Arabidopsis thaliana: one gene and its partners. The protein of the gene in region 3 purifies or fractionates together with the protein of the main gene of each other region. This does not show direct contact. Each region holds a gene or a part of one and is shown on either strand. Other genes may lie near its edges. The genes, in order: AT1G72810, IMD1, iPGAM2 and IMD2.

Region 1 (5,274 bases), on a different chromosome or scaffold from region 3:
AGAAAGCGACAAACTGGGAGCACTCTTAGAAGACGAAGAAGATCGACGGCAGAGATAGAAAAAAGCTAAAAGGTCGTCATCGAAAACAACGGCTAAGATCTTGTTCTCGGATCAGACCCAACAGAGGAGAGAGAAAATGGATCCGCTTTTGTGATTTGGATAAGATGACGTGGCGTCCATATCCTTGGGTCGTTGGGCAGAGAAGAGAGCAGAAGGCAGTGTGAGAGGCACGTGATCTGTCACGTGATTTTTGATTCTTTTTCACTGTTACACTTCCACTATCGTTCGAGCTATATTTTTTTTTATGAAAAAAGAATCTAAAGATTTATCAGAGTTCCTCCTAGAGATGCTAAATTTATAGGAACAGTGGTGGTCCTTGGACAATAGTATGATACTACCAAACACCAACAGAAATCATTTTTCTGTCGTTGTATCATTTACTGACATAACTTGATTACAAAAATATAGTATTAATTAGCTTTGGGAGTTTCACATATTTTAGTATCAAATCAAATATACAACAGAAATCAATACTATAGTATTTGGAAATGCCCACTACCTAAACATATACTACATTTCTTTTTCGGTCCACGCTTACTTATTACATCGTTAATCCTTATCTTCAACAGATTAGATGTTAAAGTGAGTAGACAAGCTTAGACTGATTCCAACCATGTGATTTGATTCCAAAAAGAACATTATAGCTGTGATGGGCTTGAGTGACGAACAACACTGTTGGTTCTGTATCAACTGGTGATGACCATTATTTCAGCCCACAACTTGGAGATAAAAGAACCAAATCATAAGCAGTTTCCACAGACTAAAGCACCAACAAAAACTATGGAAAGCTTTTATCGAGCAAAAGATCACGAGTCACAAACATAACAAAAAAGTACACGAATCATGAAATCAAATTTCTCAAGTTCCCTATCAAAACGCTTTAAAATACAGAAAAGGGATCCCTTCTCATTTATTGTGTCGTTCTCTCCCAAACCCCAAAACACTATTACCCAAATTTAGAGAGAACACACAACGGTTAGTTGAGGTATTCAGAGTTTGAATCAATTCTAATTCAAGTCTTTTATTTGAAGTATAAGCTTATTGGGCTGGTTTTTCACAATGACTGTATATTTGACCCAATCCGCCCAATGTGACGAAAAGGAGGACCCATAACTAGTGGTGTCCTTTACTTTCTTTTTCTTTTCCAAAAACGTTAAGATCATAAACTCCATACCTATATACATTAATATGAACTATGAAGTGTCGTCTACTTTGTATGAATGTTGCTCTCATAGTCTCATCTCATTATTTATTTTTGTCCTTTAAAATGACAAAAAGATAGTGACATTTATTATTTATTTTTTGTTTCCGTCGCTTGTAATATATTTATTTGATTAATAAAATGGGACGAAATCACAAATATATATTAGAAGAACAAAGAACAATAGATACAAATAATAGTAACATTATATTTTACTCATAAGAATATACTTCATGTGTGGCACATGTCTCATGTAGTCCATACATTCGTGTTTTTTTTTGTTGTTGCATATTTGATATCTTAAACACTAAAATTTACACATGATTCATGAATGTCAAAGATTCATTTCTCCCTAGTGCTTCTTTCTCTACCATCAAAAGAAAATTCATGACTAATAATCCATACAAATAATAGTAACATTTTACTCATAAGAATATACTTCATGTGTGGCACATGTCTCATGTACTCCATACATACGTGTTTTTTTTTTTTTTTTGCATATTTGATATCTTAAACACTAAATTCACACTAGATTCATGAACGTCAAAGATTCATTTCTCCCTGGTGCTTTCTCTACCATCAAAAGAAAATTCATGACTAGAGAGATATATACATAATTTGGAAATTGGAATGACAAATGAAAAACAAACAATAAATGAATACTTTCGTCCCAATATTTATTAGGTTATAAATAAATTACTTGTGACTTGTGACTAAAGGTGTCAACAATCATTCTTCTATCCAATCAATATCATCAAACTCTTCACTTTACTCTCTCTCTCACTCATAATGGCCTCATTCTCTCTTCCCCACTCCGCCACCTACTTTCCTTCCCACTCTGAAACCTCACTTAAACCTCACTCCGCCGCTTCCTTCACCGTCCGTTGCACCTCCGCCTCTCCCGCCGTTCCTCCACAGACTCCACAGAAACCCCGTCGTTCACCCGATGAGAACATTCGAGACGAAGCTCGTCGCCGTCCTCATCAACTCCAAAACCTCTCCGCACGTTACGTCCCTTTCAACGCTCCACCTTCTTCAACAGAATCCTACTCCCTCGACGAGATCGTCTACCGTTCACAATCCGGTGCTCTCCTCGACGTCCAGCATGATTTCGCCGCCTTGAAACGCTACGACGGAGAATTCTGGCGTAACCTTTTCGATTCTCGCGTCGGTAAAACAAATTGGCCGTACGGATCAGGCGTGTGGTCGAAGAAAGAGTGGGTACTCCCCGAGATCGACGATGACGACATCGTCTCTGCTTTTGAAGGAAACTCAAATCTCTTCTGGGCTGAGAGATTTGGTAAACAGTATCTGCAAATGAACGATCTTTGGGTGAAACATTGTGGAATCAGCCACACTGGCTCCTTTAAAGATCTGGGCATGAGTGTTCTCGTTTCTCAGGTGAATCATCTTTCATAAAGTTTACAACTGTATAACCATCTTCAATAAAGTTTACAACTTTATGTTATTTTTTTGTTTCTCAGGTGAATCGTCTCCGGAAAATGAACAAACCAGTCATCGGAGTTGGTTGCGCTTCTACTGGAGATACCTCCGCTGCTCTCTCTGCTTACTGTGCTTCCGCTGGAATCCCCTCGATTGTCTTCTTACCTGCGGATAAAATCTCCATGGCTCAGCTTGTGCAGCCGATTGCAAACGGAGCGTTTGTGCTTAGTATTGACACTGATTTTGACGGATGTATGCATTTGATCAGAGAAGTTACGGCGGAGCTTCCTATTTACTTGGCGAACTCTCTCAACAGCCTCCGTCTCGAAGGTCAAAAGACGGCGGCGATTGAGATTCTGCAGCAGTTTAATTGGCAAGTTCCTGATTGGGTCATTGTTCCTGGAGGCAATCTTGGTAACATCTATGCGTTTTACAAAGGGTTTCATATGTGTAAAGAGTTAGGTCTTGTTGATCGTATCCCTAGGCTTGTTTGTGCTCAAGCTGCTAATGCAAATCCACTTTACTTGCATTACAAATCTGGGTTTAAAGAAGATTTCAATCCATTGAAAGCAAACACTACATTTGCTTCTGCTATTCAGATTGGTGACCCTGTTTCGATTGATAGAGCTGTGTATGCGTTGAAGAAATCTAATGGGATTGTTGAGGAAGCTACAGAGGAAGAGTTGATGGATGCAACAGCTCTTGCTGATTCTACTGGTATGTTTATATGTCCACATACTGGTGTTGCATTGACGGCGTTGATGAAGCTGAGAAAGTCAGGAGTTATTGGAGCGAATGATCGGACTGTGGTGGTGAGTACAGCTCATGGATTGAAGTTTACACAAAGTAAGATTGATTATCATTCTAAGAACATAAAGGAGATGGCTTGTAGATTGGCGAATCCACCAGTGAAGGTTAAGGCAAAGTTTGGTTCAGTTATGGATGTTCTCAAGGAGTATTTGAAGAGCAATGATAAATAAGCTTTGTGTGTTTGTTTCTTCTAAAGCTCTTCACGTCCTATGATGATATTGTTGGCTTTGTTATTAGAGGAAGTAATGAAATTTCGTTTCTTTGGACTTGTGGAATAAAACGACTGGTTGGTTCCGTGATGCTCGCTAGTTGTTTCATATCAAACTACTACTGAGTTTTACATATGCTCTTAACAAAAGTACTCACGACCTGTCTTTTAACCTCTTCTTTTAAATCTTTTAAGAAACAATAAACTTATCTAGAAAATTAACTTCAAGAATTTTTTTCATCTTATTTAAAACCAAAAGAACTCAAAATTGAGTTAACATTAACATTGGGTCAAAAACTTAACTAGAACATAAGAAAAAACTCCCAAGTAATACAAATTTAAAACGTTCCTCTTCTTCTAGGTAGTCTTCTTACTTTAGGGAGTAAAACTAGGTGATCTAGTTCCACGAGCAGTCTCTTCCTTCATGCACTACCAAAGGTTCAAGCCTTCAACAGAAGGTACAACGGCCCTGATTACCACAACGGCCAGGAAAAGGCCAAGTACTTCCACTGCGAATCGGTTCAGCCTTACCAACTACAAGATCCCATCCTCCCACGTCATGTCTACCAAGTTCCAACGCCTTCTCTGCTCCTTCTTTCAGATCAATGTAAGCATATCCTAAGGAACCACCGGTTCCGTGGCTTGGGGGAACAAATACGCGTGTGATCTCCCCAAAAGAACTGAAATATTTACTCAATGCGCTCTTTATATCATCCACAGGAAGGGAAGCGTCAAATCCCGTAACAGAGAACGATCGACCATTGACACCAACAGAAAATAAAGAATCTTTAGCAGCTGGCTTGACACCAACAGAGAATAAAGAATCTGGCTTGAAACCAGCAGAGAATAAAGAATCTTTAGCAGCTGGCTCGAAACCAGCAGAGAATAAAGAACCTGGCTTGAAACCAGCAGAGAATAAAGAATCTTTAGCAGCTGGCTCGAAACCAGCAGAGAATAAAGAATCTGGCTTGAAACCAGCAGAGAATAAAGAATCTTTAGCAGCTGGCTTGAAACCAGCAGAGAATAAAGAATCTTTAGTAGCTGGCTTGGCGGCACTTGCAGCAGGTTTGTTTACAGGTTCCTCAGCAGAAGACGATTCATCCTCCGAAGAAGTGTCCATGTATGAGTCATCGCTCTCAGAAGAAGCCTTAGCAGAAGTCTTCATGGCAGGAACTTTCTCACCCTTGGCTGAGATGAGAAGCTCCTGTATATCCGCCTTTATTGCCAACAAATCCGCCTTTGTTACCAACAAATCCACCTTTGCTTCGAGACGCTGAAGACGATCAGCGAATTCTTTGATCATCTCCTTCTCATCAAGGTTTTTCAAGACGGATACTTTCGTGATCTCCGTCTGATCAGATTCTTCCTTCTCGGAAGGAGAAATCACGTCTTTGGCCTTAATCATAGCAGGAGCTGCTTCAACTGTGGTTGCGGATAACTTGCTAGACTCAGCCATGGAGAAGATGACAAGAAAAGAGAAAGAGCGATTTTAGGTTTTCGAGAGACAATAATCCAAGCCTGTTGTTTAAGATATATATATTAGGTTACATAA
Region 2 (4,979 bases), on a different chromosome or scaffold from region 3:
ATTTACTCTCTTTCACTGTGTTTATCTTCATTTTGTATGATCTTCTTTGACACTAACTCAGGACTCTACTTTACTCCTGCTTCTACATTTTGCAGACAAAGTCAGAAACCCACAAGTCAAAGTATGCATCTTTTGTCCTTGTATAGCAAAACTCCATGGCATTTATGAGAATCTAATCCAAACTTTGAGATTATGCAGGAAAAAGGCTAAAAGAGAGGACGATGTGTACAACTTCGGATTCATACTTCTGGAATCTCTGATAGGACCAGTGCCCACTACAAAAGGAGAGGCTTTTCTTCTCAACGAAATGGTAACAAAGAGAAAAAGCAAAAAAAAAAAGCATCATCATTGTTATTTGATTGAAACAAATTTGGTTAATAGCTGTTGCTGCAATGTTGTGTTTGCAGACATCATTTGGGAGCCAAGACGGTCGGCAGAAAATAGTAAGTCCAACAGTCCTAACAACAAGCTCGCAGGAGTCTTTATCGATTGCGATCTCAATCGCCAATAAATGTGTTTTGCTTGAACCTTCCGCAAGACCTTCCTTTGAAGATGTTCTCTGGAACTTACAATACGCAGCTCAAATGCAGTCTGCCGCAGACGCTGAACGCAAATCTGATACGTCGTCGTGAATCCAAAGGCTAACCTAATGATTGATAGTTTTTTCGGTTTTCTAAATGTAAAGCTCTATAAGTTTGGTTTTCAGTATAAAAATGTAAGACTCTTGAGACTAAAAATCATAGTAGCTTGTCTTCTCTTGAAACTTATTTCGTTAAACAAATATTGATTGAAGAAGATATTGAGTCTTGTAGTTGAAGAGAAATTCTCAATCTTCAAGAACAAGGTAAGTAAAGGCAGGAGACCTGTCAAATGTTTTTGGAGAATCTTGTCTTTGAATTGCAGAATCGATCCCAAATAATTTATTTATTATAAAAGGTACAATGTTGCATGGATTAGCATATAAGTGACCGTAAAACCAAGTGCTACACAAACTTTTTCAAGTGCTTCAAATCATCAATAAACTTAAACAGTAGCTGGAACTTTGGATTCCACTGATTTGAGAACCTCCTCACCCATTTCCTTGCATCCCACCAGTTTCTGCATTTTCAAAACACAAAAGACTTTTTTAAGTATTTTGTTACGAACTTGTACAAAACAAATGATAAGAATCATCATGCACATACATTTCCAGGGGAGTAGATGTCTCCGGTTCTGAACCCTTTGTTCAGAGCATCCACGACAGCGTCTTCAATCCTCTTTGCAGCCTTTTCTTCTCCAAGTCCATACTTCAGAAGCATCGCCGCGCTGAGAATGGTGGCCAATGGGTTTGCCTTGTCTTGTCCAGCTATATCTGGTGCTGAACCATGTATAGGTTCAAAGAGTCCAGGTCCCTGATTTCATCACAAGTTTAACATTTCGCATTAGTTTATAAACAGGAGGAGCCTTGAAAGATGTTAGTTAATTTTGTTTACCGATTCACCGAGACTAGCAGATGGAAGCATTCCAATGCTTCCAGTGATCATTGAAGCTTCATCAGACAATATATCACCAAAAATGTTATTGGTAACGATTGTGTCAAACTGCATTGTTTTAAAAACACCGTGAGTACTAGTTCCACTTCTGAGTTAGCTTAATCAACGACTAAGTTTGATATATGTGCGAGAAGCACCTGTTTCGGGTCACGAATAAGCTGCATTGCAGCATTATCGACATACATATGTGATAGTTCAACATCTGGATATTCAGAGGCTAAAGCTGTTACTCTTTTCCTCCACAATATTGATGCCTACATGAAACAAAGAAATTTGCATTTCGTAAAACACACAAAAGTGGAAAAACAATTCAGTGAACTAACAGAACGTACATCCAACACATTGGCTTTGTCAACAGAACAAAGTTTGCCACGCCTTTTCCTAGCAGTCTCGAATGCTACACGAGCAATTCTGTCAATCTGAAGAACATAAATCAATGCATTAATATCCATACATTGCCAATATTGTCACAGAGCACAGTGTGAAGGGTTATTACCTCGTGAGCAGCGTAGATCTCTGTACTAACGCCGACTTCTTCGCCATTTTCATTGATCGTAATGCCTCTTGGCTCTCCAAAGTAAATACCTCCTGTGAGCTCCCTAACAATCATCATATCAACACCTTCTGCTACTTCTTTCTTCAGTGTGGAAGCATCAACTAGCTGAACAAGCAAAACAGAAACATTTGAGTTTATTTACAACTAGAAGCAAAATTCAAGTGCTAAGCAAATCAAAACCGAAGATACCTGTGGCAAAACTGTAGCAGGTCTCAAATTAGCAAAGACTTTGAGATCTCTTCTAAGGTAAAACAGAGCCATCTCAGGTCTCAGATGTTTCTCATTCTTGTCCCATTTGTACCTGAACAATAATCATCCAAACCTCAAGATCAGAATAAATTTGGAAGCAGATTGCTAAAGAAACAGCACTCACACACATACCCTCCAATAGCTCCAAGAAGAATGGCATCAGATAGTTTTGCAGCCGTGAAAGTTTCCTCCGGCAATGGAACTCCAACCAAATCCAAGGCTGCTCCTCCGACAGGCATCTCCTTGAAATCAAACTCCAGTCCTGTGATACAAAAGCAAAGACACAATCATCTACTGGCTAAGCAAACACACTCGTTGTTTCCAAAAACCATTGAGAAAGAGAAAGAACCTTCGAGAGATCCAGCTTTCTGAAGCACATTCTTAGCAACAGAGATAACTTCTGGACCGATACCGTCTCCGGGAAGCAGAGCGATGTTATACCGTTTTTTCCCAGGTGAAGCGGCGGCGCACCTAATTCGATACGGCGCACGAAACTGATGATCGGTGAGAGAACTGTATTTCCCCGGGACGATCTTGATCGCATTCAGACTGATGTTCGTTTGCAAAAACGCCGCCATTTTTTTTGGGAGTTAGCAAATTTGAAATTGTGTCACAATAGTTATATAACATAAAGAGTTTGGTACTTAGATAGGTGTGCACGTTTTTTGAATTACGCCATTAAAGATTTGTTTTTTTAAATGGCTTAAATTATCCTTTTTACCTATAAACTGGCTCACCAGCTAAACCATGCCATTGCTTGTTTAGGAAAAGAAGAAGAAGAAGCGCCACTATAATTGGGCCTTTACCAAAGATTGGCCCATTTTAAAGTCGAAATATTGGGCCGCTCTTATAGCCCATCAAAGTACCAGGAGAAGTTCTTAAAAGTTAAAACGTAGTAGTAGAGGAACAATAACGGCTGATTATTTAATTTTATGATCGGATATTCGGATTTTGTCAAATCGTCTGGTTAGTCCAAGGATGAACACGAACTGTTTTTAACATAATACTTCTATAACAAAAATAAATTTAAAGTAACTAAATTAAAGCCTAAATGACCAAAGATTCTTAAATATTTGCAAAAAACAGAAACGAAAGGCGAGGCAAATCCACCACACCACGTGAGAGTTATGACCAATTTTTGATGTTTTCTGAATATGATACGTATCATAAAAAGTGTGTTCATACTTCATAGGGGATAGGGATAATAGTATAATACTATATTGTTGAAGTGTGGACACACAAATAATATGAAAGCAAGACTTTGTATATAAATTATTTGGAACATTGTGTACCCCCAAATTATTAATCATTATCCAAATTTAGCATGTCTCGAGGTTTTTTTTCTTTTTTTTGTATTTTTGACTACCGGACACTGTGTGCATGCAGGGTGTGAAACGAAAGCGTACCGATGTAGAATTTTTTTTTTTTTTTTCTTTCTTCTTTGAGTTCGAGAAGAAACAAGTAACGGAAACTGATGTCATAGTCCATTTATCCGTCCCTACAGCATCTACAATCGCCTTTAACAGTTTCTTCTTTCGTCCTATCTTCTTTTTATCACTCCACATTAAAACAAAATGATATTATTACAACATTTGTATGATTTTTTTAAATATATTTTTTGCTTATGAGTTATTATAGATCTCAGGAATTTAACATTTTTCTTTTCTTAATTTTGTTTAGATTGCCTTGCTAGTTGCTATTACTATTCACTCATTAAATTAATGTGTATATATAGGATATGAAATTGTCTCCATCAAGTTTTGTGTTTTATATATCTAGGCTGTGTAATCGATACAAATATACAAACCAGAGATCTTGTTTTTAAAAAAAATTAGTCAGCTCTTTTCTAGACTAAGCTATTGGATGTATCTCCTTTACTATTCTTTTCTTCACATTGAAAACATATGGAAGTACTTTTATTATCATGAGATCTTCTATTTTTTTTTTTCTCTTTTATAAAGATTATTTTCCATTCATCTCAGTTCCACGTATTATTTTAAATGTTTATCATAATAACCTCGCTCTCTCAAAAAAGTTAGAAATCATGGCATGGTCACACTGATCATCCCTCCACTTATATATAGAAACTTTAGTAAATGTTGTATCGACGATAGCAGTGGATGATTCACCACTTCTAGAAACTATTCATAAATGCTTGTCTTATTTTTTGTGCATGATTCAATTCTTAATTTATGTTTACACACCATAAATTGTTTTTTTTTCTAAATAAGTTTTTGTCTATCCATAGTTGCTAACGTGGTTTTGCATTTTTATAAATAGCTAATAATTCCATTTTCTATTATCTTATCCGTCACCCCTTCTCTCTATATAAAACCATTTTCACTTTCCTATAAACGTACGTGATAACCCCTATATATATCTCAATGGCCGGTTCGGTTATGGTTCCGTCCGTTTCAATCGGTTTAGCCTTATCTGTCTTAATCTTCTTCGCTCTTTCCCTCAAGACCCTTGAAGCTCGTGGAACCTTCGGCAGGCTTGCCGGACAGCCACCGCAGAGGACTGCTGCCGGCGGCATATGCGCTTCTTCTGTTCACATATTTGGTTACAAGTGCGAAGAACATGATGTACGTACGACATTCTTTTTTTTTCTATATAGCTATTGATGATGATTACTCATCGAT
Region 3 (5,758 bases):
GAATCAGAGCTCTTCTTCTTCTTCTTACTCTCAATCCCAGGAGGAGCTAGACTCGGAGCAGAAGCCACAGATTTCACCACCACAGAGAAATGTCCCTGATGCTCAGTCTCGCATGTGTTTCCAGGCTGAATCGAATCGCTGAAACTCGCTTCACCTTTAGAATCGAATCTAACACACTTAGCACTAGACCCTTGCGGGATTCGTTCCAGATCAGAGAAATCGATTCTGATAGGATCATTAGACACCCTTAAATCAAGCTGAGGCAAATTAAGCGCAGAGAGATTCTTAGCATCGTAAGCGAGAAGACCCAAGACAGGAGCGACATAATCATAACCAGACAAAGGGTAATACAAGTGAGAGAAATTAGCTAGGTTTTGATAAACCAAAACAAGCCTTGTCACATACGGCTTGACGATAACGCCGCTGGGAATTGAGAACTCATTAAAAGGAGTGACTCCACGTTTTCTAAAGCTTCCGCTTCTGAGTCTCATAGCAGCGAGTTTGATCCCAGTCAAATTGGAAGGAACAGTAGTAGCCTCGTAGAGAATGCCGGTACGAGGACGAAGCAAGGCTCTAAAAGAGTAATCTTGAAGAAGAGCATCGAGTGAAGAAGAAGAAGAAGCATTGGGTGAAGAAGATTGAGCAGAGAGCTTTTGTAGACGAAGAGATAGAAACAGAAGCAGCAGCAGCTGGAGACAACGGAGAAACCCCATTGCTTTTTTTTGTTTCTTTCGCCTCTGGAGCAAAAAAAAATCCCCCCAGGGCGAGTCAAAGGTGGGAGACACAGGAATAAAAAGTCGCCGTCACGTCTGAGTAGAAAAAGGGTAAAAAGGGGAAATGGTGAAGAGAAGAACAAATCGAGGAATGAGGGTTAAGGAGCAATGGAGGAAGCTGAGGAGGAGGAGGAGGAGGAGGAGGAGAGAGAATGAATGGTCGCCGGTGGAAAAGAGAGAGAGAGAGAAAGGAGAGAAGGAGAGAGCCAAAAGGACAAAAAGGAGAAGAAGAGTGTTGTCGTCAGTCCCATTTGTTCACAAAAAAAAAAATGATACAGCCTGTTCATCTGATTTTTTCTCCCTTTACACATTAACAAAAATTTAATATTTTGTTTGTTTTTTTTACTTTCCTTTTCGACCAATCATATTGATACATTGCGGCATTCAATTTCGCCGTAACAGTTGTCCGTCTACCTCTTATTGTGTTATCTGTATCTCTCTCTGTATATTTCCCATATATGTATACTGTATGATTCTTTTCTACTTTTGTTTTTGTCTTTCCTTATCCTTGGCCCATTTATCTGACTATGAACCACGTCTCATCTAGTTTCAGGCTTTTTAAGCCCAATATATAGGAACTCAACTTTTTGTCTTTGGCCCATTAGAAATTGTTTTTTAGCCTTCTACCAACCTTTTGAAGGTTCCCAGTTAATATTATGATGATATTGAATAAATAAATGTGCACAACCCTGAATTTCTTACATGAGTTTTCGGTTTGGTTTTCGTGTAATTTCAGTTTGATTTAATGCAATCTCAAGGTTTAAATAATGATTTAGATAAAAAAAAGTTACTGTCAACAGAAATTAATGTAATCCCAGTTACTAAAACTTACCCATTTTTGATCAAATTCTGGTTCAAATACCGTATAAACTATTAAGTTAACTCCGGTTTGACCTTTTCTGTATGCTATTTTTTACGTTGACCAAAATAAAAAGGTATATACAATTTTTTTTACATGGCGCACACCATGACTATTACAAACGGCATGATCCAGAACATTCGTTCATAGCAGCTAAAACTAGAACATTCGTCTCCTTCCATTTTTTTGGGGGCTTCACAATGTTTACTTGAGCCCAAAGTAAAGCCCATTAAATTGGTACCACGTCATCGCTAACTTTTCCATTTCTATGTTTCTATAAAAGTCTCATATTATGTCAGTGATAGCTCTCAACCTACCATACTTCACCACATAACCACTTCTGTCTCTGCGAATCTCCATAAGACTCTTTGAGAAGCTTTCCTCTGTTTCTCCGCTGGTAAGCTTCCGTTATCTCTCTCTCTCTCGCTTCTCAGATCTGTTCCTTAAACCTTTAATTTCTCACCGACGAGTGGATCTGAATCCACAGTTATGGGTAGCTCCGGCGACGTTAACTGGAAACTTGCGGACCACCCCAAGCTTCCCAAAGGCAAAACTATCGGTTTGATTGTTCTCGATGGATGGGGTGAATCTGATCCCGATCAATACAATTGCATCCATAAAGCTCCAACTCCTGCCATGGATTCCCTTAAAGACGTATGTTTCCTTTTTTGTTTATATCCACTTCTTTCCTCGATGATTTCGCTGGATTCCGATTATGGACTTCAACGGTTCGATTTTATTCTTCACAGGGGAAGCCCGACACATGGAGGTTGATCAAAGCTCATGGTACCGCCGTTGGTCTCCCCAGCGAAGACGACATGGGAAACAGTGAAGTTGGCCACAATGCTCTTGGAGCTGGTCGAATTTACGCTCAAGGTGCTAAGCTTGTTGATCTCGCCCTTGCTTCAGGGAAAATCTATGAAGATGAAGGTTTCAAATACATCTCTCAATCTTTTGAGAAAGGCACTGTGCACCTTATTGGTCTTCTAAGCGATGGTGGAGTTCACTCTCGTTTGGATCAAGTCCAGGTACTTAATTCTCATCTGTTACACATTTCTTTTGAAACGTTGGCGTTTGTTAATTTTCTTTAATTTGGTTCTGTTTGGTGCAGTTGCTGCTTAAGGGTTTTGCAGAACGTGGTGCTAAGAGAATCCGCGTCCATATTCTTACTGATGGTCGTGATGTTTTGGATGGTTCTAGTGTCGGATTTGTTGAAACTCTTGAAGCTGACCTAGCTGCTTTACGTGCGAAAGGTGTTGATGCTCAGGTTGCATCTGGTGGAGGTCGAATGTATGTCACAATGGACCGTTATGAGGTAGGCAATGCTTGTGAGATCTTGTATGAATGTCATGCCTTGTCTAGTCTAGTTTAGAAATGAATCCAATTTTTGCTTTCCTTCCTTGCAGAATGATTGGAGTGTTGTTAAACGAGGTTGGGATGCACAAGTCCTTGGGGAAGCTCCCCACAAATTTAAAAGCGCTCTTGAAGCAGTTAAGACACTGAGGGCAGAACCTGGTGCCAATGACCAGTATTTGCCTTCGTTTGTTATTGTTGATGATAATGGAAAGGCTGTGGGTCCAATTGTTGATGGTGACGCAGTTGTTACATTCAATTTCCGTGCTGATCGAATGGTCATGCATGCAAAGGCCCTCGAATACAAAGATTTCGACAAGTTTGATCGCGTACGTGTCCCTGATATACGTTATGCAGGAATGCTCCAATATGATGGAGAGCTTAAGCTTCCTAGCCGCTATCTTGTTTCTCCACCATTGATTGACAGAACTTCTGGTGAATATCTGGCACACAATGGCGTTCGTACTTTTGCTTGCAGGTTAACTTTTAGAATCTCTCAAATCTTTAGTTATTGTCTTTGCCATTTTCTTCTATTGCTGCTTCCTGGTTTATTTATTTGCTGGAATTGGATTCATAATTGAAACTGTGATAAGAGTAATCCAGTCTTCTTTACTTGCTCGGTAGAGGTCTAATTTATGATTGGGGGTTGTTTGTTGATTAAAACTAGTGAAATCTCCTAGCTCACTTTTTCTTGATGAGATTATACCGTTGATGGTTAGTTACATATAATGAATGAATTCTCAGCTATTAACCTATTAAAATTTTATTTCACTGAAACAGTGAGACTGTGAAGTTTGGCCATGTAACCTTCTTCTGGAATGGCAACCGCTCTGGATATTTCAATGAAAAGTTAGAAGAGTACGTTGAGATTCCAAGTGATAGTGGAATATCATTCAATGTCCAGCCAAAGATGAAAGCACTGGAAATTGCCGAGAAAGCAAGGGATGCTATCCTTAGTGGCAAGTTTGACCAGGTAAGGTGTATTCTCTTATCACATTGTATCAACCCATTAAAACAATTGGCTTCTGAGTTTGGTGCCAATGGATTTTCAGGTGCGTGTAAACCTGCCAAATGGAGATATGGTGGGGCATACTGGTGATATTGAAGCAACTGTTGTTGCCTGTGAAGCTGCTGATCGTGCTGTGAGGGTATGATTTCAATAAATTTGTGACATGGGAATGTTAGAAACCGTTCTTAGTAGCAATGACTCACTTAGTTTTGGTGTCCTGGTTTGCAGACAATCCTTGATGCCATAGAACAGGTCGGAGGGATATACGTTGTGACTGCAGATCACGGAAATGCTGAGGACATGGTTAAAAGGGACAAATCCGGCAAGCCTGCTCTCGATAAGGAAGGGAACCTTCAGATTCTTACCTCTCACACCCTTAAACCAGTAAGTTCTAGCACTACTAAAACAGTTCGTGTTATGACCATTGCAACTGAGCATAGATTAAGCATGAGGGGTTGTAATACCAGAAGTGGTTGGTGTATCTTATATGAAATTTGGACATGATGTGTGTGTGCAGGTGCCAATTGCCATAGGAGGTCCTGGCTTGTCAGCAGGAGTTAGGTTTAGACAGGATATCGAGACACCTGGGCTTGCAAATGTAGCTGCGACAGTGATGAACCTCCATGGATTTGTGGCCCCGAGTGACTATGAGACAAGTCTGATCGAAGTCGTCGAGAAGTGATGATTCTTGTTGTTGTAGTTCTTTTTAAAAGTCCCACCTGAGCCTCTATAGACTCTGATTCTCTTTTAAGTTACTATTTTCACCGCTCTCTAATAAGGCTCGTGATTTTTTGGGAGCCATACTGTATACTCGCCGGCCCTCTCACGATGTTGTTCAATTCACAGACTAAATTTGATTTATCTATTTCGCCAAAACATAACTTCATTAAAAAATGTTCTCCAAATAACTAAACGAATTAAATAAAAGAAACCTTTCATGTAAAGTTAAAGGTATGAGACTTTAAGGGCAGTTGCTGAACATTCGTAACACATGGGAGAACAATAGAGAAAGTTGAAAAGAAACGTAGCATATAGAAAAATTATCTTTGTAACCAAGTTGATTTAGAAAAATATCACTATTTGTGAAAAATACTAGATCAGTTTATTATTACTTTTTTTTTTTTTGTATATTCACAAATATCATATTCATATAGAAGAAAATAAACAAAGTTGTAAAAATCTGGCATTTAAAATAAAATTGAACACTTCAATTTATTTCCTTTCATAATAATAATTTTGGCATAAGATATTTGCAAATTGATCTGGTTCGGTATGGTCGACAAAATAATTTTCCACGCTACCCTTCCAGCCGTCCATTCACTATTTGCCCTCAACGTTACCAAATAACGGTCCAGATTCCTAGGGCAAGATCTAACGGTTAGCAAGTAAAGTCGTACCATCAGAAAGAATAACAATTCTTTCACAAAGTAAACATAACCAACGGTTAACAAGTTCTTAGGGTTAAATCAGTAAGATCCAACGGATATTAAATTGCAAGGCCCAAATAGTTTTTTTGCAGCAGATAATAACTCGTCCCCACTGGCGAGTGACGACCGAGACTCTGTGACCCTATTTTTCGAGACGATAAAAGGGCAAACAATCGCTCTTTTCAAAGCTCGCCTCTTCACCACAGAGAAAACTTCGTCTCTCTTCTCTGCTTCGCCCTCTCATTTCCTGTGAGATAAAGGCGGAGTCTCTCTCCAGTTATTTTGCTCATCCATCGATTCTTAGGTATGACTCGTTTCTCTCAGATCTGTGATTCTT
Region 4 (4,915 bases), on a different chromosome or scaffold from region 3:
AAAGCAATGCATCGGATGCAGGAACTAAACCGCAACCAATCCGCAGAGAGTATCTTTGCTCGTTGTCCAGCGAGAAGAAACGTTTGCATGAGAGTGAAAGCGAGTTTCTGTCATCGGTAGTATGAAGCTTACTGAGAATGTCCCAAACCAAATGGTCTGGCAATTCATCCATTTGTCTATCTGTGTGAACAAAAAAGGATCAAAGCCTAACATGTCAAGTGAAAAGTCCACCTTGAAAACACAAAACAGAGCTTTGATGGAACTCAGAGATTATGCAGAAAAACGAAGGCGTTTGACTTTTTACTTACCACCACCAAGATACGCAATCCCAATGAACATTCAAAAAGCCATGAAAATTTCCAGAAACAAAATTGATAAGATAGAAATAAAAAACAGAGGAAAAACTCATCAGAGATGTCTAAATTGTGAATTAGTTCCCAAGCAGAGATTTAGATTTCTTGAACATAATAATGAATAATCAAGAAATAACAAAAATTCACATCCTTGATTCATCGATTAAACTCAGCTCTAAAAGTAGGCTTGCCATGAAACAGAAATCAGAGGAAAAAGATCTCACCGGAAAGAGCGAAAACTCTTGCGACGTTTGACCACACTCGGCGCCGGATAAGGACTACGGGGGAGATTGAATCTTTTTTGTCTCTCTAATTTTTGGCTTTTTGAGTGATACTCTGACACGTCATTATCTCCACAAGGATATTTATTTCTCAGAAAAAAACATCAACGTTTCAGTTCGATCAAATAAGTCCCTCTAATAATCTCACATTATAAAAATCGCTAATAAAACCGAGACTCTTTGAGTACAAGGTACAACATTTGTTGTTGGAAATGAACTCTTCAAAGTTTCTACAAATATTAAACAGAAGCTGGAACTTGGGAGTCCACTGACTTCAGAACCTCCTCTCCCATCTCCTTGCAGCCCACCAGTTTCTGATCATACCCCATACAAAAAGACAAAAAAATATTACTACTGTTTGTTGTTGCCTGCTTGTTTAAACGTTTCTCAAACACTAACTCGGGACGTTTTTAAGGAAAAGGAAACATGTTATAAGAGTGGTTCAAGAAACATACTGTTCCCGCGGAGTATATGTCTCCAGTTCTGAATCCGTTGTTCAGAGCAACCAACACTGCGTCTTCAATTCTCTTGGCTGCCTTTTCTTCTCCAAGTCCGTATTTCAGAAGCATTGCAGCGCTTAGAATGGTTGCCAATGGGTTTGCCTTATCCTGAAAATTCAAAGAATCAACAAGTTGTGCTCTTTGATTTTGGCATTAAACTAGTTTTGATATCAGGGAACAAAAACCGTGTTTGTTTGAAGGATAGAGTTAGAACCTGTCCAGCAATATCAGGTGCAGAACCATGTATAGGTTCAAAGAGTCCAGGTCCCTGTATTACACATGGCGGGTTTATGTTCAGACTAGATCATACTGCTTGCATACTAAAAGATCATATTATTTTATATCATACCGAATCACTGAGACTAGCAGATGGCAGCATTCCTATGCTTCCTGTGATCATTGAAGCTTCATCGGATAATATATCACCAAAAATGTTGTTTGTGACGATGGTGTCAAACTGCATTTATCAAACAATCAAATAATTGCAAGGATTTACACCTGTCGCACATCAAAGCTGACTAGTTTGGCAAATACAAAGTACACGTACCTGTTTTGGGTCACGAACAAGCTGCATCGCGGCATTGTCAACATACATATGTGACAGCTCAACATCAGGATATTCAGAGGCTAATGCTGTTACTCGTTTCCTCCATAAGATTGAGGCCTGCATATAAAAAAATTCAGTGTTATGTTCGTTCCACAGGAAACAAGAGAGAGGAAAACAAGTCAAAGAAAACATAATTATCAACCGCACTTCCAAAACATTAGCTTTGTCAACAGAACACAGCTTGCCACGCCGTTTCCGAGCAGTCTCGAAGGCAACACGAGCAATTCTATCAATCTGACGAACATACAAAATGCTTTATTAGATTTGACCCTAGTACTTAACAATCAGTCCACGGAAATCTGCATCTGAGATTTTCAATAGAGTACCTCGTGAGCAGCATAAACCTCAGTATTAAACCCAACTTCCTCGCCATTTTCATTGGTCTTTATGCCCCTTGGCTCTCCAAAGTAAATACCTGTTACCATGAGACATGACATTTTATAAGATATTGTCACACGAGAAAGACAAGAATTACGATCAATTTTTAATAAGTAATAAAACTGACCTCCTGTAAGCTCCCTTACAACCATTAGATCAACACCTTCTGCTACCTCTCTCTTTAAGGTGGAAGCATCCACTAACTGTATAAAAACAACAAAATTAGAGTTTCACACAAGAAACAAAGTTCAGGCAACCAAGAAATCTCTGAGGATGGTCACCTGTGGGAGGACTGTAGCAGGTCTCAGATTTGCAAAGACTTTGAGAGCTGCACGAATCTGAAGTAACCCCTTCTCAGGCCTCAGATGTTTTTCATTGTTATCCCATTTGTACCTTAAGTTATTATTATACCAACATGAGAAAATGACTAAATGAGAAACTGTATTTCCCAAAACAATAATTAAGAGCCAACAAGATTAGTGGGAAAAGAGAGAAGACAGACCCTCCAATGGCTCCAAGAAGCACTGCATCTGATTCTTTTGCAGCTGAGATAGTCTCCTCCGGCAAGGGCACTCCGACCAAATCCAAAGCAGCTCCTCCAATGGGCATCTCACGGAAGTTAAATTCCACTCCTGATACAGAGCACAGACGCAATGTATTAGGCAATCTCCGTGGCCTTTGAGCCCAACCCACGATTGTAAATCCCATTCAAAATCTCGCCAATTTCTAATGCTCACATCTTTCAATTCCAAGCAGAAAACAGTAGTCCCCAATTGAAATGAAACAGCAACTAAATTAAATAAGAAAGGGAACAAGAGAGAGAGAGAGAACCTTCCAAAGATCCAGCTTGCTGAAGCACATTTTTGGCAATGGAGACAACCTCCGGACCGATGCCGTCTCCGGGAAGGAGAGTGATGGTGTATCGTTTTTTACCAGGGGAAGCAACAGCACATCTTACTCTAAAGGGTGCCAATGACTGTTTACTTACAGCTCTGAACGTAGCCGGAACCTTGACCGTCCGGATATTCGTCTGCAGAGCCGCCGCCATTTCAGGGAGAAAGGATTGATTGGTCTTTTTCGGATTTTGAAACCGCAAGTCAAATGGATACTACTAGTACACTCAGACTTTACTTCTTTGCATTTATGGGTCCTTTTTTGCACATTGTTTTATTTTCAGAATTGACCCCAAAGTTTTTAATTTTGTAAATGGACACCTTACATTACCACATACAACATATATATATATATATATATATATATATATATATCCATTTATTAGCAGCACCTCACAGAAGAAGGAGGGCTCATCAAATACTTGAAGAGCCGCACGAAGCTGCAACAAGGCCGTTATCGGCTTCAAATGCTTGGGATTGTTATCCCATTTCGGCCTTCAATTCAAAAATCCAAACTTTAGATGAATCCAAACTTGAGATGAACGAAAGTTATGGTAATAATACCATACCATCCAACAGCTCCGAGAAGAAGAGCGTCTGATTGCTTTGCCCTGATCAATGTTTCCTTAGGCAGTGGAACTCCGACAAGATCTAAAGCAACACCTCCTATAGGCAACTCCTCGAAGCTAAAATCTATCCCTGATATCCAAAAACACGATTTCAGTTGGGAAAATCAAATTAAATTAGGCAACAGGATGAGAAAGAAGGAACCTTCAAGAGACCCAGCTAAACAAAGAACGTCAACAGCGACTGGGATCACTTCGTTACCGACGCCATCGCCGGGAAGAACCGCGATGGTGTACCGTTTCTTTGGAGTGTTGGCGGCACATCTGATCACAGAAGCTCTCCTAAAGCTCTGTTTGGTTGCGGACATAAACGCAACCGGAATCTGGGTACTGCTGACGTGGATGACTCCCGCCATTTACTACAACAAAGACTACAAGGAGACCTGGAAAGAACTTTTGTGTTTATAATCAAACCAATATTAACCGTTCGATTATTTATTTTCACCTCTGGATGGCTCAATTATGATGGGCCTAAGAAAGATTCGTAGAAGATAGATCGGCCCAAATGTTCCAAATATTAACACAAGTCCAGCGGGCTTTGGGCCCATAAATGGTATTCGGGTCAGATTTTAAAATGGGTATTCGGGTCAAAATTCGCCCGTTAGATGATGAACCCTAATTTCGTGTGTACAGGGAGCGGAGAGGGGAAACAAGAGAATGCTCTTGTTGCGGCGACTCAATCGAGTTCGGATTGCTTCCCCTTACTCCGTTCGGCTTCTGTCAGTAAAACCTATTTCAAATGTCGATGATGCGAAGTTTCGATCTCAGGAAGAAGAAGATCAGTCCAGTTACGATCAGAAAACAGTATGCGAAGCTCTCACATGTTACAGCAACGATTGGCAAAAGGCGTTGGAGTTTTTCAACTGGGTCGAGAGAGAATCCGGATTCAGACATACCACCGAGACATTCAATCGGGTGATCGATATTCTGGGTAAGTATTTCGAGTTTGAAATTTCTTGGGCTTTGATTAACCGCATGATCGGAAACACGGAATCTGTGCCGAATCACGTCACGTTTCGTATAGTCTTTAAGCGTTATGTGACGGCTCATCTTGTTCAGGAGGCTATTGATGCGTATGATAAATTGGATGATTTCAATTTGAGAGATGAAACATCATTTTATAATCTGGTCGATGCGCTTTGCGAGCATAAACATGTGGTTGAAGCTGAAGAGCTTTGTTTTGGGAAGAATGTCATTGGTAATGGTTTTAGTGTGAGTAATACTAAGATTCATAATCTGATTCTTCGTGGGTGGTCGAAATTGGGATGGTGGGGTAA

What was found.
Region 1: the proteins of iPGAM2 (region 3) and AT1G72810 fractionate together in Arabidopsis thaliana (co-fractionation; one large-scale study listed by BioGRID). This does not show direct contact.
Region 2: the proteins of iPGAM2 (region 3) and IMD1 fractionate together in Arabidopsis thaliana (co-fractionation; one large-scale study listed by BioGRID). This does not show direct contact.
Region 4: the proteins of iPGAM2 (region 3) and IMD2 fractionate together in Arabidopsis thaliana (co-fractionation; one large-scale study listed by BioGRID). This does not show direct contact.

What each region holds. Positions count from the first base shown.
Region 1 is NC_003070.9:27,397,170-27,402,443, reverse strand, and holds AT1G72810 (Pyridoxal-5'-phosphate-dependent enzyme family protein), read left to right. Parts: upstream 1-1,969; 5' UTR 1,970-2,050; coding exon 2,051-2,662; intron 2,663-2,745; coding exon 2,746-3,684; 3' UTR 3,685-4,170; downstream 4,171-5,274. Other genes in the region: AT1G72800 (RNA-binding (RRM/RBD/RNP motifs) family protein), read right to left, coding at 4,171-5,178. UniProt on the Arabidopsis thaliana protein: Catalyzes the gamma-elimination of phosphate from L-phosphohomoserine and the beta-addition of water to produce L-threonine.
Region 2 is NC_003076.8:4,574,156-4,579,134, reverse strand, and holds IMD1 (isopropylmalate dehydrogenase 1), read right to left. Parts: upstream 3,013-4,979; 5' UTR 2,916-3,012; coding exon 2,687-2,915; intron 2,600-2,686; coding exon 2,470-2,599; intron 2,390-2,469; coding exon 2,278-2,389; intron 2,194-2,277; coding exon 2,029-2,193; intron 1,952-2,028; coding exon 1,865-1,951; intron 1,787-1,864; coding exon 1,670-1,786; coding exon of another isoform or gene 1,668-1,669; intron 1,581-1,667; coding exon 1,473-1,580; intron 1,392-1,472; coding exon 1,185-1,391; coding exon of another isoform or gene 1,173-1,184; exon of another isoform or gene 1,099-1,172; coding exon 1,024-1,098; 3' UTR 733-1,023; downstream 1-732. Other genes in the region: AT5G14210 (Leucine-rich repeat protein kinase family protein), read left to right, coding at 96-121, 199-310, 408-632; MPL1 (Myzus persicae-induced lipase 1), read left to right, coding at 4,722-4,922. UniProt on the Arabidopsis thaliana protein: Involved in both glucosinolate and leucine biosynthesis; catalyzes the oxidative decarboxylation step in both leucine biosynthesis (primary metabolism) and methionine chain elongation of glucosinolates (specialized metabolism).
Region 3 is NC_003074.8:2,607,601-2,613,358, reverse strand, and holds iPGAM2 (Phosphoglycerate mutase, 2,3-bisphosphoglycerate-independent), read left to right. Parts: upstream 1-1,803; 5' UTR 1,804-2,029; exon of another isoform or gene 2,030-2,119; 5' UTR 2,120-2,121; coding exon 2,122-2,286; intron 2,287-2,381; coding exon 2,382-2,660; intron 2,661-2,743; coding exon 2,744-2,947; intron 2,948-3,038; coding exon 3,039-3,463; intron 3,464-3,765; coding exon 3,766-3,958; intron 3,959-4,037; coding exon 4,038-4,133; intron 4,134-4,222; coding exon 4,223-4,378; intron 4,379-4,511; coding exon 4,512-4,676; 3' UTR 4,677-5,051; downstream 5,052-5,758. Other genes in the region: AT3G08600 (transmembrane protein, putative (DUF1191)), read right to left, coding at 1-713.
Region 4 is NC_003070.9:30,286,085-30,290,999, reverse strand, and holds IMD2 (isopropylmalate dehydrogenase 2), read right to left. Parts: upstream 3,238-4,915; 5' UTR 3,168-3,237; coding exon 2,951-3,167; intron 2,752-2,950; coding exon 2,622-2,751; intron 2,513-2,621; coding exon 2,401-2,512; intron 2,323-2,400; coding exon 2,247-2,322; intron 2,157-2,246; coding exon 2,068-2,156; intron 1,976-2,067; coding exon 1,889-1,975; intron 1,799-1,888; coding exon 1,682-1,798; intron 1,592-1,681; coding exon 1,484-1,591; intron 1,403-1,483; coding exon 1,349-1,402; intron 1,243-1,348; coding exon 1,090-1,242; intron 949-1,089; coding exon 874-948; 3' UTR 701-873; downstream 1-700. Other genes in the region: AT1G80570 (RNI-like superfamily protein), read right to left, coding at 1-180, 309-339; AT1G80555 (Isocitrate/isopropylmalate dehydrogenase family protein), read right to left, coding at 3,261-3,507, 3,582-3,711, 3,784-3,994; AT1G80550 (Pentatricopeptide repeat (PPR) superfamily protein), read left to right, coding at 4,296-4,915. UniProt on the Arabidopsis thaliana protein: Involved in leucine biosynthesis; catalyzes the oxidative decarboxylation step in leucine biosynthesis (primary metabolism). Catalyzes the oxidation of 3-carboxy-2-hydroxy-4-methylpentanoate (3-isopropylmalate, 3-IPM) to 3-carboxy-4-methyl-2-oxopentanoate.